Sus scrofa: one gene and its partners. The protein of the gene in region 1 interacts with the protein of each later gene in a pairwise test. Links are inferred from orthologs where the notes say so. Each region holds a gene or a part of one and is shown in the gene's direction. Other genes may lie near its edges.

Evidence for each region.
Region 2: the proteins of UBQLN4 (region 1) and SPP1 interact in a two-hybrid assay, tested with the Homo sapiens proteins (2 studies listed by BioGRID and IntAct). The link is inferred for Sus scrofa from reciprocal best matches to the Homo sapiens genes UBQLN4 and SPP1.
Region 3: the proteins of UBQLN4 (region 1) and PTN interact in a two-hybrid assay, tested with the Homo sapiens proteins (2 studies listed by BioGRID and IntAct). The link is inferred for Sus scrofa from reciprocal best matches to the Homo sapiens genes UBQLN4 and PTN.
Region 4: the proteins of UBQLN4 (region 1) and ATXN1 interact in binary tests that used the Homo sapiens proteins (3 or more experiments, as listed by UniProt). The link is inferred for Sus scrofa from reciprocal best matches to the Homo sapiens genes UBQLN4 and ATXN1.
Region 5: the proteins of UBQLN4 (region 1) and PRPF40A interact in a two-hybrid assay, tested with the Homo sapiens proteins (2 studies listed by BioGRID and IntAct). The link is inferred for Sus scrofa from reciprocal best matches to the Homo sapiens genes UBQLN4 and PRPF40A.

Annotation. Positions count from the first base shown.
Region 1 is NC_010446.5:93,973,843-93,980,488, forward strand, and holds the start of UBQLN4 (ubiquilin-4), read left to right. Parts: upstream 1-2,543; 5' UTR 2,544-2,637; coding exon 2,638-2,745; intron 2,746-4,680; coding exon 4,681-4,832; intron 4,833-5,338; coding exon 5,339-5,556; intron 5,557-6,126; coding exon 6,127-6,389; intron 6,390-6,646. Other genes in the region: ragulator complex protein LAMTOR2, read right to left, coding at 975-1,137, 1,444-1,511. UniProt on the Homo sapiens protein: Regulator of protein degradation that mediates the proteasomal targeting of misfolded, mislocalized or accumulated proteins.
Region 2 is NC_010450.4:131,078,248-131,083,353, reverse strand, and holds part of SPP1 (osteopontin precursor), read left to right. Parts: intron 1-2,287; coding exon 2,288-2,368; intron 2,369-2,654; coding exon 2,655-2,696; intron 2,697-3,779; coding exon 3,780-4,088; intron 4,089-4,759; coding exon 4,760-5,106. UniProt on the Homo sapiens protein: Major non-collagenous bone protein that binds tightly to hydroxyapatite. Appears to form an integral part of the mineralized matrix. Probably important to cell-matrix interaction.
Region 3 is NC_010460.4:12,284,931-12,291,047, forward strand, and holds part of PTN (pleiotrophin precursor), read left to right. Parts: intron 1-1,753; exon of another isoform or gene 1,754-2,530; intron 2,531-2,915; 5' UTR 2,916-2,916; coding exon 2,917-3,031; intron 3,032-3,940; coding exon 3,941-4,114; intron 4,115-6,117.
Region 4 is NC_010449.5:12,320,365-12,326,481, reverse strand, and holds part of ATXN1 (ataxin-1), read left to right. Parts: intron 1-3,492; 5' UTR 3,493-3,652; coding exon 3,653-5,587; intron 5,588-6,117. UniProt on the Homo sapiens protein: Chromatin-binding factor that repress Notch signaling in the absence of Notch intracellular domain by acting as a CBF1 corepressor. Binds to the HEY promoter and might assist, along with NCOR2, RBPJ-mediated repression. Binds RNA in vitro.
Region 5 is NC_010457.5:60,391,329-60,396,196, reverse strand, and holds part of PRPF40A (pre-mRNA-processing factor 40 homolog A), read left to right. Parts: exon of another isoform or gene 1-1,578; coding exon 1,579-1,665; exon of another isoform or gene 1,666-1,751; coding exon 1,752-1,848; intron 1,849-1,931; coding exon 1,932-1,993; intron 1,994-3,141; coding exon 3,142-3,273; intron 3,274-4,636; coding exon 4,637-4,729; 3' UTR 4,730-4,868.

The DNA of each region.
Region 1 (6,646 bases):
GGTTCCCAGCCTATGGATATAATCAGAGCTACAGCTGCCAGCCTATGCCACAGCCACAGCAATGCACCAGATCCAAGTTGAGTCTGCGACCTACACCACAGCTCATGGCAACGCTGGATCCTTAACCCACTGAGCAAGACCAGGGATTGAACCTGCAACCTCATGGTTCTTAGTAGGATTTTTTTCTGCTGCACCACAACGGGAACTCCTGGATACTAGTTCTTAATCCACTGAGCCATGACGGGAACTCCACATACTACTTTTTAAACTTATGTATGTATGTTACAAAACATATTTATGAACTGATTTTACAAACATACATATTTTACTTATTTTAAGGCATATATGAGACATTAGGGCTGCAGTTTTTGTTTGTCCTGTTTGCTATTTTTTTCCCAGGTCCTGAGAATACTGCAAGGACCTAAAAATTTGTTAACTGAACAGATATAAAGGTGAATGAGACAGGTTCTGTTCCCAAGAAATTCAGTCTAATGGCGCTTCCTCTTTCTGGACTTTATCTCCTTTTTCTGTAAACTGAAGGAACTGGACTAGGGTCTGGACACTTTGCCATGCTTCTGAGTCTGAGAATCTCAGATGACAACACTTTGTGTCTGCATATCACTCTACAGTTTACACCTACCCTTTCATTTGATCACAACAACCCTGTGTGCGTGATGTGGTGGTGGGGATTATTTTCACACTGGAGATGTGGTAAAAAAGCTTGTGACTTACCCAAGGTTCCACAAATGGCAAGTGGCTGGCTGAGACTAGAACCCAGCCAGACCTCGGGTCCAATACTCCTTCCTCATCACCACTTGATACATAGGGTCCTGCCTATTATAAATGCTGCTGCAGACCAACTCTTAGTAATCTTCCAGAAATCCTGTCCCTGGGCCCCAACCATCCAGGATGGGGTCCAGGGTGCCCCTTGGGGGTCCCCTTAGGGACAGAGGAAATGGCTCCCCTCTCCATACCATGCAGTCCATGAGGATGAATTTGAGATTGTCTTCGTTAAATGCTTGGTTCCCGTTCCGGTCGTAGGCCGCCCAGATGTTACTGGCGATGGCTGCAGTGACTCGGGCGTCCGTATCCCCGTAACCAGAGTAGGCCAACAGAGATCCCTCGTTATTCAGCAGCCTGGAAAAGCATCAGAACGGATATCAACGTGCTCAGGATGGGGAGTAAAATACCTGACTTTCCATCCCAACTCGCCCACCGGCGCTCCTAGAAAGCAAGGGTCTGGGTTGAGTGTGTCCTAGAACATGCCCCAAACACCCAGCACGTCAGTTTCTCTTTCAAGAGTGGCCCTCTCGCCGGTTCACCCAAAGGCTGCCCCCTCTGCCACCTCCTCCCTTCCCAGAGAGCCTTCCCCACCCCTCCCTCGGAGAGCCGCGCGCAGCCCCACTCCAGTGCTCGCCGCTCGGCCTCTCGGTCCGCACTCACAGGGTGCTCTGGACACCTCCAGTGTTAGCTTGGCTTAGCACCTGGGTCAAAGCCTTGGGACGCAGCATGCCTGTGGCTCCTAACCCTGGGCTTTCACAACCTGATCCCGGAGTTTCCTATAACTGGCCTCCGCCTGCCGCTTCCCGTAGTCCAGCTGCCCGGCTCCAGAACTCCTGGGAGTTGTAGTTTCCTGGCCTGACTGTGCGGTTCTGACTCAACCCCGCCTCACCGCGGGGGGCGCTGGGAATTGTAGTTCCTCGAAGCTTCGCGAGGCACCCTGGGAACTACAGTTCGCCTTTCCAGTGAGACCACGCGGTTATGGGGGAAAAGAGCGGGAGTAAAAGGATAGTGGCAGTACTGGAAGGACATTTAACCCTCTCGGGCAGAGGAGTCATATCTGCTTGACAATCCACGATTCAGTAATTAAAAGAAAACAAAATTCCTATACTTGTCAGGCATACCTTGGGTTACTTCTCAAAGCAATTTTCTACATTATGCATAATTCTGTGAGATGAGGAGATAGATGCTATTGAGGAAATAGGCTCAGAAAGGCCATGCAGGCAAAAATCCAGGTCTCTGGAACTGTACTGAATAGACTTCTTGGAGGCCGCTACCCTCAGGGGAATTAAGTCAATCCTACAGAAGAGGTTTTAGGTAGATATCCAGAAGTGGAAAATTCAGCCTCCAAGTCGGGAGAAGCCTCAGGCCTGGAAAGGATTTGGGCTTTCCAAGAAAGACCAGTTATCATAGGGAACGGAGATAAAGCGGCGACACAGAAAGTCCTTTGTCCCGGAGAAAGAGTTAGTCGCGGAGGGGGCGGGTAGCTTTGGGCCCGGGGGCGGGGGGTTGGCACCTCAGCGCGACTCGGACCGGCTACCACGGGCGGTGGTCTCTCCCGGAGAGTTTGCTTCCCGCCCCTGTCCGGAGCAGCCCCTTTGGGGGCCGCCGCCCAGCAAGGCCCTGCCCAGGCTGCAGACCCCGGGCTCGGCCCTGGGCGGACCCCGCTGCAGTGGCCCCCCCGGTCCGCCCGGGGCGCTGTGGCTGCGGCTGGTCCGGAGGGGGCGGTGAAGCCTTGGGGAGGGGAGGGGAGAGGGGAGTGTTGGAGGCGCCGGAGCCGAGCACCGCCGGGCGGGCGGGGAGGAGGAGGAGCCGGGGCGGGCTGGCGGGCGGCCGGGTGGCGGCGGCGGCGGCGGCATGGCGGAGCCGAGCGGGGCCGAGACGAGGCCCCCGATTCGGGTCACCGTCAAGACCCCTAAGGACAAGGAGGAAATTGTGATCTGCGATCGAGCCTCGGTCAAGGAGGTAGTACGGGTGGTGGGGATTGGGGGGGTGCGGAGGAGTGGTCTGTGAAGAGGGGGGTGTCTCTGAGACCGTCGGGCGTATGGGAGGGCCGGGGAGAGGAGGGCGGGGGCCCAGCAGGCACTCGGGGAAGCGGGAGGGAAGAGGCGGCGGGTAGGGGGCGTCCTGCGAGGTCGATCCGGGGTAGCGTGGCGCGTGTTTGGGAAGGGAGGCCGGGGTTTGCCTTGTGGCCTGGTCTGGGGGCGTGGTGGAGTTGGAAGAGGACACCTTGCACAGGCAAGGGGGAAGGACCCTGTGTTGGAGAGGAGTGTTTGCGCCGCTTACTAGCGGGGGTTCGAGGCGCTGAGGCAGGGTGGGAGCCGGGCAAGGTGCGGAGGCCGGATAGTGGGCGCGGGGCGCAGGCGAGGAAAGCTCCAGGCTTCTACTGTGCGTCTCAGAGAACGCCCAGCATTCTGACGCCCGGCCGGTGCGGGGGGAGGATTTCCCTCTGCCGGGATCTTTGCTACTCTTTCAAATCAAGGTAGTTGCGTTTGGTTCTCAGCCCCTCTGGGATTTACACAAGGTGCAGTAGGTGCTCAAGAAAAATGTGGTGAATGACTGAATGAGGGAATATTGCTGTGTTCACCACCCGCCTGTGGCGGCTCCAGAATTTCACAGAGGCGGGGCTAAGATAGGCTTTCTGGTTGGGAAGGAGGGATCTGGAAGCTGCCTTTGCTTAGCAAGTGCACTGTTTTTACTTAGAGTGTAAGTTTGGGTTGGTAGGGGGGTTGCGGATAGATGTAGAGTCTTAACTCTTTCCAAGCCAGCTTTTAGTGCCATTATTGCCCTTCCCCCAACCTTATAAAATGACTCCATTCCAGAATTGAAATCATTTTCGCTGCAAAGCTGAATTTGGTATCAGCTCTAGTTGAGAGGATCCATGTTTTTGGTTCAGAGCTTGGGCTTCGGTATCGAGGCCTAAGTTCCAGTCTGCCCGGGGCAAGTTTCCTAACTGCTTTGATTCTCAGTTTTCTTGTCTTTAAAATGGAGATAATTGTTAACATGTATCTCATGGGATTTAGACTCTGAATGGTTAGTGCTTTTATAAATAACGTGTTACCTGGTAACTGGTTAAGGGTCAGCTGGTTAAGGGTCTGGCGTTGTCACTGCTTTGGCTCAGGTCACTGTGTGGCTTGGGTTCGAACCCTGGTCCAGGAACTTCTGCATGCTGTGAATGTGGCCAATAAATATGTAAATACCTAAATAAATAAGTGGGATCTGTTTATCATCATTGTCACAAGAACACTGGAAATAAAGAGAGGAAAAAGACTTGGGGTCTGAGAAGAGAAGGCTGAAGGGAGACAGGGCCTGGGCCCAAGGCTGTTGAAGGAGTTGGGATGGTGAGAACTGCCTAGGCAGTACCCTCACGGGGAACTGGGTGGAGGGACTGAAGATGGAGTGGCAGATAGAAGTGAAGTCTTTCTTGGAGTTCCCTTCGTGGCTCAGTGGTAATGAACCCAACTAGTATCCACGAGGACACGGGTTCGATCCCTGGCCTCGCTCATTGGGTTGGGGATCCATTGTTGCCGTAAGCTGTGGTGTAAGCCGCAGATGCAGCTCAGATCCCGAGTTGCTGTGGCTGTGGCATAGGTCAGCAGGTGCAGCTCCAATTCGACCCCTAGCCTGGGAACTTCCATACACTGCGGGTGCAGCCCTAAAAAGACAAAAAAAAAAAAAAGAAGAAGGAGCAAAGGGTTTCTAGGGTGGGAGTCCCCAGGGTAGAGCTCTCTCTAGTCCAGCTCCTTCAGAAAGGAGCTGCTTATTGCAACTAGAGGAGTGGAATTAGAACCGCTGAAAGGACTTCCCAAGACTAGAGCAGAGGCTCTTGAAGAAGCGGCAGAGTCCCTTGTTGGTGGAGCCCAGGCAGCCTCCACAGTGACCTTTGCCTCTTGATCACAGTTCAAAGAGGAAATCTCCCGGAGATTTAAGGCTCAGCAGGATCAGCTGGTCCTGATCTTCGCGGGCAAGATCCTCAAGGATGGGGACACATTGAACCAGCATGGGATCAAGGATGGGCTCACTGTCCATCTGGTCATCAAGACCCCTCAGAAGTAAGTTCAGGAGAGGAGCAGGTCCAGCTTCGGGTTGGGCTTTTTTTACCCCCACTGATGCTTTGTCACCCGTAGTTCCACTGTACATCTAAGGCCTTTGCCAAGGCCCAGGAAGGTGCCTCTTGGATGGATTGCCAGAAAGCCCTGTGAGCTCATCTCCAGGGGAAAGGAACCTGACTTACCTCTCCCTGAATGCCCCGAAGATAGAGGATCCTGGAGTTCCCTGGTGGCTTAGTGGGTTAAGGATTCGGCATTGTCACTGCAGCGGCTTGGGTCACTGCTGTGGGGCAGGTTCAATCCTTGGCCCTGGAACTTCCACATGCTGTGGGTGTGGCCCAAAAAAAGGCTCTTCTCTCCCTCTGTCTGATTTACTGATTCCCTGCAGCACTACCCTGCCTTAGCCTCAGGGTTGCTTAGGAAGTTAGGGCCCTAGCTGCATAGCAAACAGAAATCCTTGTCTTCCCTTTTGTGTTCGCTTCAACTAGGATTTTTCTTTCTGTCCTCAGGGCTCAAGATCAGACCACTGCCACTGCTTCTTCCCCTTCCACTCCAGACCCAGCCTCAGCACCCTCCACCACGCCTGCTTCACCCGCCACCCCTGCCCAGCCCTCCACCTCTGGCAGTGCCGCTTCGGATACTGGCAGTGGAAGCCGAAGGAGCAGTGGAGGAGGTCCCTCCCCAGGGACTGGGGAGGGACCTCCCAGTGCCACTGCATCCATACTCTGTAAGCCCTTAGGAAGGAGGGCACTGTCCTGTTCGGGGCTGGGGAGTTGGGGAAAGCCAGGAGGAGGAGAAAATATAGTCCCTGTTCCTGGCCCAGTGGAGATAGGGGACCCCTGGACATAGGGTTCCAGACAGTGGTACTTGAGCCAAATGGGACAGGAAACCAGTCTCTGAGGGCTTCCCAGAAGAAGGAGCATGGCAAAATGTTAAGCATGAGGAGGAATATGGGGCTGGGGATACGTGGAACCCTAGGTGAGGATATTGGTGTTTGGGGAAAGTGGGTTAACAGTGGCCAGTTGGGGAATATTTATTTGCTCATTCACTAGGCCATCACCAGTTGCCCTCTCTGTGCTCAGTGCTGTGCCTGACTGTCAGCCTTTGCCATCAAAGAGGTTTTGGTCTAGTAGGCTCACATCTCTCTGCCAGCAGCAGATCAGGGCTGGGGCTGTGGAAATGACTGGCAAAGGGAGATGTGAGAAGCAGAGGGCCCATCGTGGAGTCCTGATCAGTGACTCTGGCCACGTAGGGGAAGAGTCTTGTGACAGACCGTGACCCTGCCCCCTCCCCACAGCTGGCTTTGGGGGCATCCTGGGCCTGGGCAGCCTGGGCCTGGGCTCCGCCAACTTCATGGAACTGCAGCAGCAGATGCAGAGGCAGCTGATGTCCAATCCTGAGATGCTGTCGCAGATCATGGAGAACCCCCTGGTCCAGGACATGATGTCTAACCCTGACCTGATGCGCCACATGATCATGGCCAACCCTCAGATGCAGCAGCTGATGGAGCGAAACCCTGAGATCAGCCACATGCTCAACAACCCTGAGCTCATGAGGCAGGTGGGTCTGAGAGAAGGTTGGGGTGTGGAGGACACCTGTGCCCTGCCTATACCCTGTCTGGCCTTTTTCCACCTTTTTCTACCTTGATTTGTTCATCTATTCATTTATTCAGCAGCCATGTTTTGAACACAGGGTATAGTGATGAAAAGACATAGATCCTAGTTTTCCAGGAACTTCTAGTCTCAAAGGGAAGTGGGACAAGTAAGCAGGCAGTTAAAATATAGTGTGGTCAGTGCTATCATAGGGACAGTCACAGG
Region 2 (5,106 bases), on another chromosome or scaffold:
GGTCCTACTGCAGAGCAAAGGGAACTATATCCAATCTCCTGGGATAGACCATGATGGAAAATCATATTTTAAAAGAATTTACTGAGTCCTTTGCAGTACAGCAGAAATTGGCACAACATCATAAACCAACTATACATTAATTTTTTAAAGAGAACAAAAGGAATGATATAAAATTTCTATTGATTATAGGGAAAAAAGGAAGTCTATTTATGCTGTTTATATCCGCTGTGCTTGTCAGATGACTTCAGATCACATTTTTCTCACCAGGCATAAAACCAAGGCAAACTCTTGATTACAATGATTTGTAGCGCCATTGATGTACTGCCCCTCCCACCAGAGGGGAAACCGTGCCAGCCAGGCAACAGGCGGGCATTGTCCCAGGGAGCTTGGACAAAAAGGCACACAGAGTTCAATTCCAGAAGAACAGAATAAAGGCCAGTAGAGAGCTGCCTGGGGTCACACCGCAGTGAGATGGCTTAAAGAAGATGTTAGGAGACGTATCGCTGTGTGTGTTTGGGCGTGCAAGTGGGTGTGTGTGAGTGTGTCTGTTTTCCAAACTGAGTTAAGAGCACAAGTACTGAATCACAGTAAGAAGCCAGAAAAGTAATATTTGCAGAGAAGACAGGGGTCACGCTCTTTAAGGCAGGACTTTGTGCCTTTTTAATAGACTAAACTATGGCCCAGGAAGCCGTGGCAGTGTCAGTTGTTCACTGACACTTGGGAGATAAGTAAAGAGTTGAGCCTTCTAGAATCCTAGAAATCTAGAGCCGGTAGGAAATATGGAAAGTCTCTAAAGAGAACCTCCAAAGAGGAACACTGGTTACCTATGAGTGATTTTAGTTTGTTTTTCTTATCCATATATTCTTTCTTTCTGTCATTTTAGGGCTGCACCAGCAGCATAGGGAGGCTCCCAAGCTAGGGGTCGAATCAGAGCTGCAGCAGCTGACCTACACCACAGCCACACAATGCCAGATCCAAGTTGTATGTGCAGTCTCCACTGCAGCTCATGGCAATGCCGGATCCTTGACCCACTGAGTGAGGCCAGGGATCAAACCTGCATCCTCGTGGATACTAGTCGGGTTTGTTACCACTAAGTCACAGTGGGAACTCCGGTTCTATTTAAAATTATACATTTATCCTATAAATATAGAAAAGCCTGTATTACACCTATCATCCAAATATGTATAAAATACATCGAAGATAACATATTTATGCATATAGCATTTACGTAAATCTATATTTTAAAGAAAAGAAAGAGGGAACTTGTAAACTCAACTAGGCCAGTAGGTTTCACATCTTTTAATTCCAGGAGCCCCTTCTTTGAGCAAGAGCTTTCACAGAGGCCTGATATGAAGCTGCTCTGATTGAAGCCAGCCATGGGAAACCCAAAGGGCTACCGACTGGTTTCCTTCCTGCTTGTCCCCTCCTTGGTGGCTCTGAAGGAGCTCTTGGAAACCCCGGGTAATCGTTTTCAGTGGCAGAAATGTGAAGTGATTACCCTGGGCCATGCAGCCTGCCCGATGACACCTGTTCATTGCAATTTCCGTTCCTAGCATATTATTGCCATGTTCCAGAAAAACGACTTGTCTACATAAAAGGCCTTCCCATTCATGCCTTTGGCACCTTAAAGCAGTAAAATATTAGATTTCTGACTGTCCACTGGGGTGCCACTAGACCCATGTGACCAGCGAACACTCAAAATGTAGGCTGTGCCGTGGAGGAACTAAATTTGTTTAAATCAACTTCAATTTAAAGAGCCATATGTTTCGTGGCCACCAAAGCCATGGAGAGTTTCTTCCTTGTTCCATAGAGAAAGAAAACAAGGAAGAGCAGGGCTAAATGAGGGCACCTCCGCTTCAGTTTGGCCTCATCTGAGAGGAATTTCAGCTGCCACACAGAGCACAGGAAAGCAGTGTTAGCACCAGTGTGAAGAGCCCCTGGGTTTGAACCCCGGCTCTGCCACTGACTCTCACTTGACTTCACTGTGGCTGAATGTCTCCTGATCTGCAAGATGGGATTGAGAATAATGAGGATGACACCTACTCCAGGATTAAGAGAAGGAATATTTATAAATAGTTTTGAAAGTATGCCTGGCTCACAGTCAGTGCTAAGTAAGAGTTTATTAAAGGAATGTTCCGGAAAGAAGACCTTATGACAGGTATATCTAAGGCTCTCTTTGACTGTGTCATGCTTGTTATGCTTATCCTAAGTTTTCAGGTTATCACTTAGAGATCCTTGCTTCTTTTTTCTAGAATGACAAATGTGCAACTCTTTTTTTTTTTTGTAGCTTTCCAACAAATACACAGATGCTGTAGCCACATTGCTAAAGCCTGACCCATCTCAGAAGCAGACTTTCCTAGCGCCACAGGTACTTTTGATTTTAACTTATTTTAAATATTAAAATTCTCATGGTTAAAGAACCACCACCACAAATTGTAACTACCAAGCAGGTCATTTAGCCTGATGAAATGGCTCTTTCCTGCTGGTTGGTAAACATGAACTTCGAGCAACTGATCTGCCATGTGGTCTTCCCTGCAAAGCCATCCACCAATGAGGCTAAAAAATAAGACCTGCTGTGGATGGAAAAGGCTACCTTCTGAATTTAAAAATTAAGCATGTATGATGTACACTGATCTGTGCCCTTCCTTCTTCAGAATACTATTTCCTCGGAGGAAACGGACGACTTCAAACAAGAGGTGAGTTTCACTCTGAATCCAAGGTCCGGCATGTCACAGAGGGACCAAGGAAGCCATTCTTTCTCCTAGTGACACTGCCAGGGCTCAACTCCGGCAAAATTACGTTAGCAAATGATCCAGTAAATATCACGTCTAAAATTTGCTCACCAAAAGCGCAAGTATTTCCTAAATGTCAAAAATACCAGGTTTCTACAAATACGTTTACTGTGGCAGGAAGTGTTGACTCATGTCTGTTTGAAATACTAAGCCTTTTGCAGTTATTTAAGGTATGTGGTTGATGTCATCTAATACCTAATAAGTATCTAAATAATGCCTACCAAAAACAAGATTTTGCCTCCAGGAACTTTTCTGTTCCTAACATTATAGTTTTTTAATAGCTCTTCTTTTTATTGGGACTATTCATATATTTCCTAAGCAAAGGGATAAGGTAAAGCTGTCTTCCTTAAGATTCCATTTGAAGGTGCTAAGAATCTCTAATAAGGAAAGGTAGATAAATAGCCCAGTATATTTGCTAATCAGATGTTTAATAGACACGAACTGATTTTGAGCTGCAGTATATATATATATATATATATATATATATATATATATATATGGATAACAGAGTCACTTTTAATTATCCGGACTAATAGGGAAGGGATTTTGGGTGGGGGGGTACACATTACTGATATATGAATGCTCTGATGGCCTGAGAATTCTCATTTCAAATAGAAAAAGAAATTCCACAGTTAGTATCTGTATTTATTACATTATTGAATTCAGGAAATTGAATAATGTCTAATGTGAACAAGGAAAAACAGTGTTATTACGTACGTATCGTACTCAGATATTTGGCTTGAAAATACCAATGAAAATAATTTTTGTGAGAAAGCCAGAAAAAATGCCTGAATATGATGCCACTTATCATTGCGTTAAAAGAGAAATCAGAAGATGCTGGCTTTAGCGCCTAAGGGCCACGGAGTGCATTGTCCTGACTGCAAAGATTCTCACACGAAAGGAAGATAGTAAGCGGCAGATGCACTGTCGAGCTAAGGGGAAATTAAAAACTCTCACACCCATGTTTCTGGCCATCTCGATATTTAGACCCTGCCAAGCAAGTCCAACGAAAGCCCTGAGCAAACAGACGATGTGGACGACGACGACGACGAAGACCACGTGGACAGCAGGGACACGGACTCCGAGGAAGCTGATCACGCTGACGACGCTGACCGATCCGACGAGTCTCATCACTCCGATGAATCCGATGAGCTGGTCACCGATTTCCCCACCGACACCCCAGCAACCGACGTCACTCCGGCTGTCCCCACGGGAGACCCCAATGATGGCCGCGGGGATAGTGTGGTCTATGGACTGAGGTCAAAATCTAAGAAGTTCCGCAGATCCGAAGCCCAGGTAAATCCTGAAACAGACGCAGCCGATGGTTCCGAGGAGAGCCCTGTCCTAGGAAACCAGAATCGGCAGGCTCATGTATTCGCTCATTCAGCCAGCATGACTACTTGAACACAAAACCTGTGTTTAAATCCACATAATTTCTCCCTAATTTTGTCTCTCAATCACGAGGCAGTTTTTCCAAACCCTGGCTATAAAGCACTTATTCTATTCACTGTTTTAAATTTAAAAAGGACTTCCGAAAAGAGTAATTCTTTTTCATGCTATCATGGTCACATTTTGAAATTCAATGCAGAAGAAGACTTGGAGAGATGCAAATTACACTGACTCCACAGTCAAAGGATCTGAATTTGGCACATGGCTTTGCCATTTACTACTCACATTACTTTTTAACTTCTGATTCCGTTTCCCTTTATGTAAAACAGACGAGACCCGCCTCGTAGATTTCCTTGCATAGATAATGGATGTGCCTATTAAAGTAAAGGAGATGACAGAGTAAAAGGACCTGGTGAAAAAAAAAAAAGTAACACACTGGTATTATTATTATTACTTCAGCCACATTTAGACATTTCTGTAGAATACACTGGCCTGAAAGTTAGAAAGCAGAAAAGAGCTACAGTGTTCCCATCCCTGGCTGTTCATTTAATTCTTCTCCCATTTTTGCTGTGATTCAGCAGCTGGATGCCACAGAGGAAGACCTCACGTCACATGTGGAAAGTGAGGAGACGGATGGTACCCCCAAGGCCATCCTCGTTGCCCAGCGCCTGCACGTGGCTTCTGACTTGGACAGCCAAGAGAAGGACAGTCAGGAGACGAGTCAGCCGGATGACCGCAGTGTGGAAACCCGCAGCCAGGAGCAGTCCAAAGAATACACGATCAAGACCTATGATGGGAGCAATGAGCATTCCAATGTGATTGAGAGTCAGGAAAATCCCAAAGTCAGCCAAGAATTCCACAGCCATGAAGACAAGCTGGTCCCAGACTCTAAGAGCGAAGAAGACAAACACCTGAAACTTCGAGT
Region 3 (6,117 bases), on another chromosome or scaffold:
AGTCAGAGAAAGACAGATACCATATAGTATCATTATATCTGAAATCTAATATACGGCACAAATAAACAATTCTCCAACTTTCATCCCAATCCCTCTATCCCTCCTCCGTCTTTGCTCTCACTATAGTTAAGATCACTTGTTGAATAGACCATTCTATGATGCCAAAAAGTGGATGGTCAGGAAATTCTGGCCCTGCGAGACTTTTTTTATTGAAATTAAGTGAATTTGACTTGATTGAGAGAAAGCTTTTTGAAAATAATTATAAAAGTTAGAGCTGGGCAATGTCAAACTAGAAATGCTGAGGTTAAAGTAGCCAGTGATAGCACCTTTCTATTAATAACTCTGTGTGTGCATGTGTTATTTATGGAAGAGTTCTTTCTGTTTCCGCTGAATGGCCGTGTTTCTTCAGTGACCTCTCTTTCTGCTGTATGTGTACTAGGCTCTGCAAGGATCACTTCATCACTTGTTCAGAAAGTCCTCTCAAGAGCTGGGCTTTCATGATGGATATTTCCGCATTCGCACAATCATCTAATTCACAATCTAAATACTTCAGGTATTCGTAGGTAATCATTAAAAATAAAAGTATATTCCAACTTGGAAACAAATACTTAAAAATTTGAAAGTTCTGTATTTAAATGTTAACACACCCTTTAAGGAGAGTGAAGTGAAACATCTCTGCCTCCAAGTGGTTAGTCACTGAGAGCATGTTGTCTGTCACACAGCCTTTGAAGAAAACAACCAGGAGACCTTAAGTGGTTTACATTAAAGCTAATAATTGTAAATGATATTGGAATATGTGATGTATGTCCTGTAGTATAAATGCACTGGGGTATTCAACTCTGAGAAGACTTGCCAACCAGTAAGTCTAGACTGGCTTCTCTTATCATTCACGTCTAATGAAAGTCCTAGGAAAAGCCTCAGAGTCAGAACTTTTCTGTCTGATGGTCAGTGAGGTATAGTTATAAAATTTAGCATTCAGAGGAGGAACAAAGCACCTAATTTTAGATTTTAGAAAGCAATGGAGATGCTGAGCAGCTAATTAGGACTTGTGATTTAGCGAAAGGACCAAATGACCAAAATAGTGACTTTAACTGGTAGAAGAAATGTGATTCATCCATACATAGAATCCAAAGTCACTCATTATATATTTTGGATATTAATCCCTCGGCAGTCACTTCATTTGCAAATATTTTCTCCCATTCTGTGGGTTGTCTTATGGTTTCCTTTGCTGTACAAATTAAATTTAAATTAGGTCCCATTTATTTATTTTTGTTTTTATTTTCATTACTCTTAGGAGTGGATCAGGGAACTCTCCCAATAGTCTGTGATTATCTGTATGGGAAAAGAATGTGAAAAAGAATGGATGTATTATGTATGTGCATAACTGAATTACTTTGTTGTACAGTAGAAATTAGCCTGTTATAAATCAACTATACTTCAATAAAACTTTAAAAAATGAAAAAAAGTCATTCATAAAAAAACACTAATAAAGAATAGCATTTCCAATGTCACATAAAAGGGAAAAATTCACTGACAAGGATATTATTTCATAGCTATGATTGAATGAAGAAAAGCAAATTGCAGAAGAGAGTAATCTCAGCACCTTATATATGAGCAGTTTTATTGTTCATACTCAAGAGAATGTAAAATCACCTAAACTAATCTCTACCGCTTCAAAAAAAAATGTTCAGAGTTAATGGCCATAGGTCATTACTGTCATTATTATACGAAGTATGAAATACCATGAACATACCAGATGACTGCCAGGTGAGTGGCTGCAGCCAGTGACGTGTGTAGCTTCAAGAAGTGGATGTCCTGGGGCTTGGACTGAGGCTCCCAAGTCTGCTGTGTCAAGGTGACCACTTGTGACACGAGGCTGTCACAGGTAACTTCAAGTTATAGGAGAGTCTTTCTAATGAGTCTTTCCTGGGATTTTGATTCAGATCAAATGTGGAGAATTTCAAATCATGAGTGAGTATAAATTCTTCATTCCATCCTAGAATTTAGAGGATTTTCACCACATGAGAGTTTACAAAAGTGTTCTTGATATATATCAAAGGGGCCAGCTCTACTTCTGTTTCGTGCTTCACTCTTTGGTGGACCAGTGAAAAATGGAACAAGGATGATAAGATAATCATGACCATGAAAATGATTTTAAAAATCAGATATCAGTCATTAATGATGCATCTAAAGATAACAGCAAACCTATCCTTGTGCAGATAATCCATTCATTGTGTCCATTCAATTATCCACATGGACTACAGCACCATGCTTGTTTCTAGGAATGGCCAGGAGTTGTAAGGATGGCTGTAGTTACTGACATTACCAAGTGTCAGTATCAGCAAGACTTACTGTAGGAGTCTGTTCAAACACATGCCATCAAAATTCTTTGAGACATAATTCTTGAGTCATACTTAGCAAACGGTGGTGTGTGAAGTCTTCTACGGAAAACAGTTGTATTTAATTAGTGAATACATGACTGATTGCAGAAGAACACATTTCAGAGACTGTTGGAGAAGATAGGACTGCTTCATGATATAAAATTTCTTTTTTTCTTTTTTTTTTTGTCTTTTTTTATTTTAGGGCCACACCCGCAGTGTGTGGAGGTTCCCAGGCTAGGGGTGGAATAGGAGCTGTAGCCACTGGTCTACACCCCAGCCACAGCAACGTCAGATCTGCGTGGCCTCAACAGATCCTTAAACCCACTGAGCGAGGCCAGGGATTGAACCCACATCCTCATGGATACTAGTGGGGTTTATTAACCACTGAGCCACAATGGGAACTCCTGATATAAATCTTCTTAAAATCGAGTATTCCAGAAATGGAAAATGGAGGCCTTCATCAGGGAGTTCAGTGCGCCTTCCTCTCTGACCTGGGTTGACACCCCTGTCTTCTGTTTCTCTGTTTATTCCCAGAATGCAGACCCCACAGTTCCTGCAGCAGCGTCGAAAATTTGCAGCTGCCTTCTTGGCATTCATTTTCCTTTTGGCAGTTGTGGATACCGCTGAAGCAGGAAAGAAAGAGAAACCAGGTAAGCAATACGGTTATGAGCACGAAACTCTTCCTTAAGTAATGTCCCCTTAATCCAACTACCTGATTTTGTCCTTTCTCCTTCCCTCCCCCTCCCTCCGTCATTTTCTTCCTACCTTTCCTCTCTCCAAGTATTCAGAGGAACCTAAGAGACATCCCCTCTCACTTCCATCCCCCTCAACTGTAAGTCCTAAAAAAGGGATGAGGATCATTAACTTGAGCCGCATGACAGTGATCACAGTAAAGACCACAGCAGCAGCTACTGCGTTTGGAAAACCGACCAGCAGCGATCAGGTGTTTTGCTTATGCTCATACCTTCCTCCCAAAGAGTCCTAAAAGGAATTTTTGTTTTATCTCATATTGAAAAAGGAGGAAGGCGAAGCTCAGAGAGGATGAAGCACCTTTTCTATGTCACTCCCCTTGTCCTAAGGGGCTGTGCAGCTGGGAGTCTGTTTACAGCTGCGTCCACCACACTCGCCTTACGCTATTCCTCCTGTACGAGAAAGGAACGTTGAGACATGCGTCGAACTGGCTAACCTGACAACTCTTACTTCTCATAGACTAGTTTCTCATTTTTCAGGTTTAACTGACTTTGACCATCTTCTCTTTTTACAGAAATGTTTGCTTCTAAAAGGAGAGATCAGTGAATCACTTAGCACAGTCCTTGATACATAATAAGAATTAAAATGAATAACAGTTCTAGCTCCACAGTTTTCTTTCTCCCTTCTCTTGGTCATTGGTTGATTGAACCATTCAGCTAACACCTATCAAGTTCCTACTCTTACTGAACACTGAAGACAAAGGTAAAATGCCCAGACCATGCAATTAAGGAGATCAGGAATGGACTTAGTTATATCTAGGAGTTAAAGATTTTTCTGGATGTTGATTATTTTTCTTTCCTCCCTTCCAGAAAAAAAGGTGAAGAAGTCTGACTGTGGAGAATGGCAGTGGAGTGTGTGTGTGCCCACCAGTGGGGACTGTGGGCTGGGCACCCGGGAGGGCACCCGGACTGGAGCTGAGTGTAAACAAACCATGAAGACCCAGAGATGTAAGATCCCGTGCAACTGGAAAAAGCAGTTTGGAGGTAAGTCCCACCCCTGCAGTCCTGTTGATGTCATCTTCTACCCTGAGATAATTCTTGCATTCTTCTACCAAATACCTTTTTGAGGTCGATTCTATTTATTTTAACACATTTATTTTCTCAGATGCAGCCTAACCGGGCACTTTGCCTACCCCCAGGTACCTCATTTTCAGTACTACTAGCATGGGAGGGCTCAGATAATTTTTTTGTCCTGGATGGAGGGTTATTCTGTGCACTGTAGGGTATTTAGCTGACTCTCTGGCTTTTACCCATGAGTTTCTGGGAGCATGCCCTCCACCTTACCAACTGCAGCAACTGAAAATATCTCCAGTGTAATCCAGTTATAATGGAAAAAAATAAAAATCATTACACACACACACACACACACACACATATAAAGAAAATTCCTCCAGATAGTGCTGCACATTTCCTGGGGTGAGTGGGGGGTGCAATAGTCCCTGACTGAGGCCACAGGCTTTACCAATAGGGATAGAAATGAACCCTTGATCCCTCTTAACAGTGTTCTCTTTCCTTCTTCTATTTCTAGATTCCTTCTGTCTCCCCTTCCTTTTTTCTTATTTATTCTCCTTCTCCCGATCTCTTTCTGTCACTTGCAGGCCCTCTCTCTCTTTTGCTCTCTCTCCACTTTCCACATGGGTTTGTAGATTCACTTTCCAAACCCAGCAGGGTTGCTGTGAGCCCCTTTTCATAGATTTTTCTCTCACCAAATACTGCCAGTTTCATGCTGACTTCATCTACCTACTTGAGAAGAATCTTTCAACTCCTTCAACTTTAAACCCACCACTGAACACCCAGTTCCTTGATTTTTTCACATGCCTAGTGGGACACGATGCCCCAGATATTCTCCCTGGTCTACAGGAAGGTGCTTTGACCTAGTGACCAATGGAGAAGAATAATGAATAGACACACTATATCTTTTTCATTCTTTATAACTTTGGGGGTTATAACTTTTTATGAGTAGAGGTAAATTCTGTAAAAGGATGGTAAAATTCAGATACATTTAATCTTGAATTGTATATGGATACCCTAAGAATGATATGCAAAATGTCTTAAAAACTGTGTCTTCAAGGTCTTGTGTCTAGAATATATAAGAACTCTCAAAACCAACAATCCAGTTAGAAAGTGGGCAAAAGATAGGAACAAACATTTTACTGAAGGGGATAAATACATGGCAAATAAACATTTGAAAAAGTGTTCAATATCTTTTTCCTATTAGAGAAATTAAAATGAACACCAATGAGCTATCATTCTGTATTACCTATTAGAATGGCTAACATTAGAAATCACATCAGATGCTAGTGAGGATGCAGAGAAACTAGATCATGCATGCATTGGTGATGGGAAGGTACATACAGAAGCCACATTGGAAGAGAGAATGGTAGTTTTTCACAAAACGCAACTTGTATTTACCATACAATGCAGTGGTCTCACTCTAGAGAAATGGAAACTTATGTTCCTATAAAAATCTATACAGCAATGTATATTGCAGCTTTACTTGTCATAGCCAAAATCTGGAAAGAACCCAGATGTCCTTCCACTAGTGAATGGCTAATCAGCTGGGGTACATCTGTACCACAGAGTACTACTGAGCAATAAAAGGAATAGGCTACTGATACACACAACTTGGATGGACGTCCAGGAGATTTTACTGAGGGCAAAGAGCCAGTCTCAAAAGCTTACAAACTATATGATTCCATTTAAGTAACACTCCTTAAATAACAAAATTATAGACATGGAGAACAGATAATTGCCAAGGGCAGAGGAGGTGGGAAAGGAAGAAGGTAGCTAAGCTATGATGTAAGAGGATAACCCACGGGGCCCTTGGGTTAGAACTTGTGTGAATATTAATGGTTGGGTGTTCATATTTATCTGCACACAGAACTAAATGTTCGCACACATATACACACTGAGTGTATGTGAAACTGGGGAGACCTAAGGAACTTCTATGGGATGTGTCCACTCAATTTTCTGGTTGTGCCTTTCGA
Region 4 (6,117 bases), on another chromosome or scaffold:
GGGACACAGAGGGCTTTTGTCTGCAGCTAGAAAGAGACCCTAAAAGCAGACATCCACCCTCCTTTTTATTTCTCCCCTTCCTGGTCTCTTTTTCTCTCCCTTCTTTTTCCCTGAAGTGACTTCCACCTGCATAATTTACCTCTCCATTCTTTTAATCCAGTGTGCCAGGGACCTGGTGGTGTACTGTGGCGCCCTCTCGTGGTGGTTCACTGAAAATACATCAAGACACAGTCCCTACCCTCACAATGATTTCTTTCCCCTGATGACAGTACAGGGAGCTCAGGAAACAGAGAAGGGACACATACTCCGGAATTAGAGAACCTAGTCCCCAAGCTGCAATGGTAAATAAGAGACATGGTCCTTTTAACTGTAAGAGGAGGGTGAGTCAAAATTTGTATTAGTCTGGCCCCAGTCACACCAGTTAATCTTTGTATACTTAATATAGCATTAGTATTCTCTAGAAAAGATGTTTATCAATGGACAGCTTTTCAGAAAGATATATTTGAATTTGTGTGTCAAGGCCAATATGTTTGACTGGTCATTAGCAGAAGACCAGTCATAGCGTCTGTACCAAGATCTTTAGGGCCAACTAAGCCAGTGTCTCAAAAAAAGGGTGTAAATAAACGCAAGCCCTACTGAAAATCAAGTCAGCATTCTTTTTCAAATTCCCTAAAGCTGAGTTCTTTTTTAAAAAGTACCTTCGGAGGGGTTTTCTAGTTTTGTGTACGGTGCATTCAGTTGTACAGGCAATTTACATTTGCATTGCTAATAGACCTCGTTCTGAACATGTTTGACATTTTGCTTGGCTTTGAAAGGACTTTTATGCTGCTGCTTTTTCTTCCCTAGAGCTGCCTTGGGCTAATTAACCTATTCCCTTACTGGCTGGGCCTACTATATGCAAATAGTCTCATTCCGGATTCTGACATACTACTCTTGCATGAACATCCCTAATGAAATCCTGTGGGGTTTCATTGGATCAGTGCTACTGTGGAGCCAGCAGGGGGCGCATGGAACAGTTCCCTTTGGGTCCATCTCTTAAAAGACTTCTCTCCCAGTCCGTATGGGATGTGAGACTTAGGCAGTCCTTTCTTGGAGTGACTTTAGAAATGAAGATTATTATCAGAACTTTTTAAGCAGTGAGAAGGGGCAACTGTCTTTAATTTTTGTTTAATTTTATCTATCATTGTTTTGAACATAGCACTGACATCTTAATCAGTTTGCACATATTCAATGTAAATTATGTGCCATGTTCTTCATAAGAGGAAACTGTACAGAACACAGTTATCTGGGACTTACAAAGCCCTGGGTCAAGGAGGTAGATAATCGCCATTACTTTTTTGACAGAGATATTTCTTCATGAATATTTTTGCTCTTTTTACTTACTTTTTTGTTTCTGCCTCAGTCTTAAAAGTGCCTCTCTTGTCATGTGAGCAATCCTATTTCTTATCGAAATGTCATTTGTATTGAGACCCCAAATTTCTAACCTCCACCTCCTTGAATGCTTGGTCAAAGTCAAGAAGGATGGAGAACTTTTGTGTCATCTGTCCTTTTGTCATGGTGTTCATTAAGGATGTTGAAGCGAAAGCAGCAAGGGCCACTACATCATTGGCAAAAAAAAAGTTACAGATTGGAGAAGGGGGTGTGTAAGCTCTAAGGAGAGAAGTGGGATGAGCTGGCGCAGGAGGGGAGCATAGGAGGGCAGAGAGAGAAAAGGGCTGTGTTATAAGCCAGGGACACTGATATTGCTTCAGCACAGATAAAGGTCATATGCTGAAAATTGCTGCCTTATTGTGCCTGTTTTAACTTCACACCGTAGAAAAGAGGTCTGGGTTGGAGAAATGCTAAAACCCAGGGCCTGGATTCTCAGAGCCCAATCCTGCGCCTCCCCAGGATCACAGCGTGTGGCCTGTAGGTGGCCCTCACACCTGCCACCTGTTAGCCTGGTTCCTCTTGGTTCCATTAATGACCTGCCTCTTGCCAGGTGGGCATCTGTCTGCCCACACACGCCTGGTAACTTAGAGTTGTGTGGTTTCTGAGACACTGAGATCTGTGTCCCTGAAAACTGGCTCCAGGCTCACTAATGATACGTCCAGATGGAAACACACATGCCTGATGGGTCCGGCAGAGGTTTCGTCTCTAGGGTTAAGGGTGGATTGGCCCTTTCCAAGGAGAAGGGGGTGGAAGGTATAGGGAGAAAATTCAAAGACCAGAAGGGAAGTTAGAGGCAAAGGCAGAGCAAGCACGTCACCCTTATTAAGAAGAGCCTCAGAGTTCCCGTCGTGGCTCAGTGGCTGGAGAACCCGACTAGCATCCCTGAGGACACGGGTTTGATCCCTGTCCTCGCTCAGTGGGTTAAGGATCCAGGGTTGCTGTGGCTGTGGTGTAGGCCGACAGCTGTAGCTCTGATTGGACCCCTAGCCTGGGAACCTCCATGTGCCGTTAGTGCGGCCCTAAAAGACAAAAAAAAAAAAAAGAAAGAAAGAAAGAAAGAACACTTTGGATGCATCAGCCTGAGGATCGCACTGATTCTTCCCTCTTGGGCACCCAGGGCACATGGAGTTCTCGTGCAAGGGTTCAGATCCAAGGCGCAGTTGCAACCAACACCGGATCCTTTAACCCATTCTGCAGGGCCAGGGATCGAACCTGTGTCCTGGCGCTGCAGAGACGCCACGGATCCCATTGCACCACAGTGGGAACTCCAGTTGCACTTTCAACCATAACTGTGTTCAAGGTTTAACTGTCACAGATTCCTTTTGGCTTTCTGTTATCATGTGAGTAGCTGTACTGGGAATTGTTTGGAAGCTTGTGGGGTATAGAATTATTTGGGGCTGGCTCTGCTGAGCTGGCCTATGGAAAGAGAGAGTGTGTGTTATGAGTGTGTGTGTATGTTAGGGAAGAGAGAATTGTGGCGGATCCCATATGGACCCAGAGTCAGTGGAATCTGCGTAGCATCTATGGCAGGCAGATGAGGAATCAGGGGTAACTATCAAGTCCACGGAGGACTTGGTTTCTCAAAGTCCGGGTGGGTCTGTCTCTGAGGGCAGGTCTGGCTGACCCTAATGGGTGCCATCATCCTTGTGGGCTTCATTCCAGTTTTCCAGCCAGGTAAAGAAGAGGCGAGGAGTAGAAGTGGCATTTCTGGAAGGAAAACTAAGAAACACAAGTGTCCACTCTCAAGGAAAAAAAAAAAAAAAAAAACAGGAAGAAAGGAGAGAGGGTATTGAGAGATGTCTTAGGAGATTTGCTGAGTCCATAAAAAAGGCTTTGACTTGCTCCCTGTCTGAATGGTCCTTCTGATGAGCTCCAACAAGGCCGGTGTGTCACCTGCTCTGACCCTGGGGCGAAGGAGGGGATTTCACGTTGACACCAGCAGCCTAGTCGGAGTCTCTGGGAGCACGTTCTTTTCTGGTGCTGATGTTCTGATTCCCTCTCCCTCTTCCCTCTCTTTCCTCCTCCTCTTACCCTCATCCCGATCCTCTTTCCTTTCCCCAGATTCCAGAGCGGCTGCTGGCGGATCGCCCCCGCGGGGAGATGATTCCTCATGAAGCGCCTGGATCCCCTACAGAAATCAAATGTGACTTTCCGTTTATCAGACTAAAACCAGAGCCAGCCAGACAGTGAAACAGTCACCGTGGAGGGGGGACGGCGAAAAATGAAATCCAACCAAGAGCGCAGCAACGAATGCCTGCCTCCCAAGAAGCGCGAGATCCCCGCCACCAGCCGGCCGTCGGAGGACAAGGCCACGGCCGTGCCCAGCGACAACCACCGCGCGGAGGGCGTGCCATGGCTCCCGGGCCACGCGGGCGCCCGTGGCCACGCTGGCGGGCGGCTCGGGCCGGCGGGGCCCCCGCCGGAGCTCGGTTTACAACAGGGAATAGGTTTACACAAAGCGCTGTCCTCGGGGCTGGACTACTCCCCACCCAGCGCGCCCCGGTCCGTCCCGGCGACCACGACGATGCCCGCGGCGTACCCGCCCCCGCAGTCCGGGGCCCCGGTGTCGCCCGTGCAGTACGCCCACCTGCCTGCGCACCCGTTGCAGTTCATTGGGTCTTCCCAGTACAGCGGGCCCTACACCGGCTTCATCCCTTCCCAGCTGATCTCCCCCACGGCCAGCCCCGTCACCAGTGCGGTGGCCTCGGCCGCGGGGGCCGCCACTCCATCCCAGCGCTCCCAGCTGGAGGCCTATTCCACGCTGCTGGCCACCATGGGCGGCCTGAGCCAGGCCTCGGGGCACAAGGCTGAGCAGCCGCCGCCGCCGCCACCGCCACCGCAGCACCTGGGCAGGACTGCGGGGCTCCTCCCCCCGGGGTCCCCACCCCCCACCCCGCAGAACCAGTACGTGCACATCGCCGGCTCCCCGCAGACCGCGGCGCGCCCGGCCTCCCCGCCGGCCATCCCCGTCCACCTCCACCCCCACCAGACCATGATCCCGCACACGCTCACCCTGGGGCCCTCCCCGCAGGTCGTCGTGCAGTACACCGACTCCGGCAGCCACTTTGTCCCCCGCGAGGCCACCAAGAAAGCCGAGAGCAGCCGACTGCAGCAGGCCATGCAGGCCAAGGAGATCCTGAACGGGGAGCTGGAGAAGGGCCGCAGGTACGGGGCGCCCACCTCGGCCGACCTGGGCCTGGTGAAGGCGGGCGGCAAGGCCGTCCCCCACCCCTACGAGTCCAGGCACGTGGTGGTCCACCCCAGCCCCGCCGACTACGGCAGCCGGGACTCGTCGGGCGTGCGGGCCTCTGTGATGGTCCTGCCCAACAGCAGCACCCCTGCCGCCGACCTCGAGGTGCAGCAGGTCACCCACCGGGAGGCCTCCCCGTCCACCCTCAACGACAAAAGCGGCCTGCACTTAGGGAAGCCCGGCCACCGATCCTACGCGCTGTCACCTCAGCAGGCCCTGGGCCCCGAAGGAGTGAAGGCTGCTGCCGCCGCCGCCGCCGCCGTCGCCACACTGTCCCCCCACACGGTCATTCAGACCACGCATAGCGCCTCGGAGCCACTCCCAGTCGGACTTCCGGCCACGGCCTTCTATGCGGGGACCCAGCCACCCGTCATCGGCTACCTGAGCAGCCAGCAGCAAGCGATCACCTACGCCGGCGGCCTGCCCCAGCACCTGGTCATCCCCGGCACCCAGCCCCTGCTCATCCCCGTCGGCAGCGCCGACATGGAGGGGTCGGGAGCGGCCTCGGCCATCGTCACGTCATCGCCCCAGTTTGCTGCAGTGCCTCACACGTTCGTCACCACCGCCCTGCCCAAGAACGAGAACTTCAGCCCGGAGGCCCTGGTCACCCAGGCCGCCTACCCGGCCATGGTGCAGGCCCAGATCCACCTGCCCGTGGTGCAGTCGGTGGCGTCCCCCGCAGCCGCGCCCCCCACGCTGCCTCCCTACTTCATGAAAGGCTCCATCATCCAGCTGGCCAACGGGGAGCTGAAGAAGGTGGAAGACCTAAAGACGGAAGACTTCATCCAGAGCGCGGAGATCAGCAACGACCTCAAGATCGACTCCAGCACCGTGGAGCGGATTGAGAACAGCCACAGCCCAGGCGTTGCGGTGATACAGTTTGCCGTCGGGGATCACCGAGCACAGGTAACGTTCTTGCAGATCACGCAGGTATGGGGGCATCCTGCCCTGCCCGCTCTCATAGCTTCCCGGCACGATGAATTTCTTCCAAGAGGCAGACTTGTCTGCAGCTAGGGGGTGATAAAGGGTTTTTCATTTATACCTAGAGGTTAGACTCATCATCTTCCCACCCCATCCCCTGAGAGAATTAAGCCCTAAGGCACCAAGGCATCCGCTGTTTGTAACAAATTAACTTTTCTGCATGTCAGGTATGGCTGGTAGCATATCATTTTCCCAGACAAATATGAAAATCACTGCTTGAATTTTTTTTTTTTTCTTACTGTTGTTCTGTGGTTGAGATGGGTAGCCCTGATTAAGAAGAGTCATTCTGGGAGCTCCCACTGTGGTTCATCAGGTTAAGACCCCGAGGTAGTCTCTCTGAAGATGCGGGTCCAAGCCCTAACCTCGCTCAGTGAGTTAAGGATCCTGTGTTTCTGCAAGCTGCAGTGTAGGTTGCAGATGCGGCTTGGATCCCGTGTGGCTGTGGCCAGCAGCTG
Region 5 (4,868 bases), on another chromosome or scaffold:
TGGGGAATAAGAAATGTAAATTGACCCAGTAATTATTGAGTATTTGGTGCCTATGTGGCCAGGCATGTTCTAACTGTTTTACAAATATTGCATATGGACTTAATCCTCACAACAATCCTGTGAAGTTACAGATGAGCTACCTGAGGCAAAGAGAAAAAATTTGCAGGGAAGGGATTCTATCTAATTCAGGCTTTTTGACTCAAAGGCCAATGATTTTTAACAAATAAGCTTTCAGTTGTAGACAGATATTTTACAACAAGCTGAAAACTAGCACATACTTAATATCATAGTGCTGCATAGTCATTGGGCAGAGCATATCACTTAATTGACTGTTGACTCTTTCATTGGATTTATTGTTCTTGATGAATATCAATGTTGACAACAGTTTGCTCTGTTAACATGCACCTACATTACAGTATATTATTGCTCAGCTGCCTGTAGATCTTTTCTACCCGTAGTACATTTCAGACCACCAACATCTGCATTACCTGGAAGCTTCTTAGAAATATTGAACCTTAGGTCCCATCAGCAGAAGTCCTGTGTCAGAATCGTCATTTTAACAAGATTGTCAAGCTTTAGAATGTACATTTAATTTTGAAAAGCTCTGCTCTAGGTAGTGTCTTAACATTTTCCCCCAATTCAGGAGTCTCCAAAGAAGAGAAGTCTCTTTCGTGATCTATGCTGGGGGTAATTGCTAAATGGAGCTAATGCCGGCACATAGGGAAGGGCTGAACATATTAGGATAGGTTTTGGACCCTAATAATATGGGTCTCGAGGTAGAAAACGAAGGAGAGTTAACATTCAGTAATATTAAAAAAAAGAATAAGAGTCCCTGAACTAGATTTTCCATTTCCACTTGTAAACCAAAGCAGAATTTATTTTCAAAGCCTTAGGTATGTTTGGGGGCAAGGAGCTTTTATTGCTATATATCCCCTTTCCTGCTAGCCTACTAATTGTTACAGTAAAATAGTTCAAGCCCACAGATATCACATGAAACCAGAAAAGAAAATGTTAAGTTAGAATTATTAAATTGTCTTTGAATGTCTTAAGTTTGAGTAGGAAGGGGATACTTTTGGGTGAAAAGAAAGAGTAGATTTTGCATTTTAATATCTGAGACCAACTTCAGTGAAGTTCAAGGATGTCTCTGGGGTGGTTCTTTATCTCAGTGCTGAGCCTAGCTCACTAACCAAAACCACATTCATCAAGAAACCTATGTTTCAATGTAATTGTATTTCATTGTTTTTGAAAGCAGTGTTAACTCTTCTGCAGATTATTCCTTTATGGAGGGTATCAATTATCCCTATTGTACCCACACCATTCTCATTGCTACAAAAAGTATTTTAATAACATCGTTGTGTTTAGATGTCAATTGAGTTGGGTATGGGATAGTTAAGAAGGAACAGAAGAGAACATTTAGATAATAATTCTTTGCACAGTTTCATGGTTGGGAGTACATTCTAAATAAGCAAACTGAAGGCATTTTTATTCTAAAATTACTTGTGAAGCTTTAAAAAGATCTTATGATCTACTGTCTAAAGTGTGAACTCCTTGAAATTTTTTTTCTTTCACTCCATGTAGCATGAATGTCAACATCATCATTCAAAGAACAAGAAACATTCTAAGAAATCTAAAAAACATCACAGGAAACGTTCCCGCTCTCGATCAGTAAGGAAGTTTATTTAAAATGGCACCATAAGTGTATTGAAATATTTGTTAGCATAATTATGAGTGAAATTATTTGTATTGTTTAGGGGTCAGATTCAGATGATGATGACAGCCATTCAAAGAAAAAAAGACAGAGATCAGAGTCTCGCTCTGCTTCAGAACATTCTTCTAGTGCTGAATCTGGTAAACATATCTTTTAACTTGATGAAAATCATTGACACTTGGATGTCCTCAAATTCTGACATGTGTCTTTTTGTGCTGCTTAGAGAGAAGTTATAAGAAATCAAAAAAACATAAGAAGAAAAGCAAGAAGAGAAGGCATAAATCTGTAAGCAGACTTAATTTTTATACTGCACCTAGGCTTTTGGGGGAGGAGCGCACTTTTTAGGGCCACACCTGCAGCATATGGAAATTCTCAGTCTAGGGGTTGAATCAGCTGCAGCTGCTGGCCACAGCCATAGCCACAGCAATGCCAGATCCAAGCCGCATCTGCGACCTCCGCCACAGCTTGAGGCACGGCCAGATACTTAACCCACTGAGCAAGGCCATCCTCATGGATACTACTCGGGTTTGTAACCCACTAAGCCACAATGGGAACTCTGTGCCTAGGCTTTTGCCCTTAATTTCCTAAATGGCAGTAGAACCTAATTTTCTGTCTAGTCCTGTACAGTCAACAGAATTCAGGTGGGCACCTAAAATTCAAGAGTGTCACAGCTGTTGTTCACCTTAATCTTCTATTAAAATCTTTTGATGAGCTTTGAAAGAAAAAAAAAAAAGAACCACAGTGTTAAGATCCCCACTCTTTTTTTTAATAGTAACCTTAGAGAAAGATCCATGTATGTGTATATATTGCAGCTGTTGCTAAGAACCACAAAGTCAAATGTTTTAACAACTTATACTCTCAGTTCTTAACATTATGTACAAATCAAGATGCTTCTGATCTTAGGGATGAAGGTACACTTAATTTGTGATGCTCTTTTTTAGTGGTATTTTAAACCCTATCAAAATGTCATTTTTCCCTCAGGAAAGACCAACTCTCCCCATGAATCTTTTTTTTTTTTTGTCTTTTAGGGCTGCACTCTTGGCATACGGAGGTTCCCAGGCTAGGGGTCTAATCAGAGCTGTTGCTGCTGGCCTATGCCAGAGCCACAGCAACGCCAGATTCGAGCCACGTCTTTGACCTACACCGCAGCTCACGGCAACTCCGGATCCTTAACCCACGGAGCGAGGCCAGGGATCGAACCCGCAACCTCATGCTTCCTAGTCAGATTCGTTTCCACTGTGCCATGACGGGAATTCCTCTCCCATGAATCTTGGGAATGCTGTAGATTCCTTGAGATTAATAATTCAAATTTTAGTACTCTAGGAAAACATACCCTGTTATACATGGAGGTTCTTAAATATCACCTATATAGGGATTTTTTTCTACTAGAACAATTTATTCATCAAAATGCTAACATTTTTTATTTAACACAGGACTCCCCAGAATCAGATGCTGAACGAGAGAAGGATAAAAAAGAAAAAGACCGGGAAAGTGAAAAAGACAGAACTAGACAAAGATCAGAATCAAAACACAAATCACCTAAGAAAAAGACTGGAAAGGATTCTGTAAGTATTTAGAATTATTTCATGTCTGTATTTTCAAAATATAGAAATGCCAGTGAACTACCTTTCATAAAAAATAGTTTTCTAACATGTGATTATGAATGACCCAATTTAAGCATCCTAAATTTCATGTTCCTTAGAAAGAAGTACAGAATTCTGTAACTATTGTTTAACCCTAAGAAAGGTATGTTCTCTGTACATTCTCATTAAGAAATGCCAATGGAAATTTTCTATCTAATTTTTTTAGGAATATAAAATTTAAGAGACATCAGAGGTTTCCCTCCAAATGTCCACAGTTGTCATGGTTATGAACTCCAGTTTTTAAAGCAGAAATGAACCCAACTAGTATCCATGAGGATGCAGGTTCCACCCTTAGCCTTGCTCAGCAGGTTGAGGATCCTGTATTGCTGTGGCTATGAAGGCCAGCAGCTGCAGCCTTATAAAAACCCCTAGCCCAGGAACTTCCATATGCCACAGGTGCAGCACCTAAAAAGAAAAAAAAATTGTGGGGGAAGAAGTGAAGGTATTAAATAAGGGGGGATACTACAAACCAAATTAATTTTAATATCAAATTAAAATTAGTTTCCCATTTGTGTGTATGCATATATGCCAGAGCACAATACAAGCCTTCTTCACCTTATTATTCCTTCCACAGATGCTATGAACTTGGCAAGGGTGATGCCTCTGAATCACCAGTTGAGGATTTAAACTGTGTAGACAAGCCCTGGTCTTCTTTCTGGATATTTTGATTCAGTGGGAATAGGGTGGAGGCTTTTTTTTTTTTTTTTTTAAACTGCCCTGGTGACTCTAATGCACATCCTTGGTGAGGATTGAATGTTTCCTCTATGCTTATTTAGTGGCTTAATAGTTTCTTCCTTACAGTAGATTAAATAAATCCCTGAAGGGGAAAGCTAGATGGTGGACTGTCCACTTTTGAAAGTTGCTTCTTACAGATAATGCAGTATTTTTTTCTCCCAGCCCAAGAGTTGTCCTCATAAATCTTAAATGTTTCTGTAGTTGGACACCATAGTATGCTTTATAGTATGCTTTTTGAAGCATAATACTTTTATGTAATGCAAAACTCTGGATAGGACAACCTAAAATTAGCAATGAATGTAATACCTAGGAAATGAACACCCATTAAGTGGAAGTCTCATTCTAACTTTCTCTCTTAATGTAACAAAGAAGTACTTAGTTAACAACCCATCAGGAGGCTTTTGGGGAAGAGGTCAGTCTTTAAACCTTGTGATGTGTTTGCTTCCGGAAGAGAACCCAAATAGGTTTCAGATTCTTTTTTCAAAGATTCATTACTACTTAATCTTTTGAGTACTGACATCAAATATAATTGTATTCATTGTCTTTCTAGGGTAATTGGGACACTTCTGGCAGTGAACTGAGTGAAGGGGAATTAGAAAAGCGCAGAAGGACCCTTCTGGAGCAACTGGATGATGATCAATAAATTATACCAAATATGTTTACAGTATGATTTAAAGTCTAATTCAGACCAGGGACTCTATTTTAAGTTCAATTGAAATAACACTGGGTTTTAATTATATCACAGAAAAAAAAAAAGTGCATTTAAGTATTGTTATTGTGGA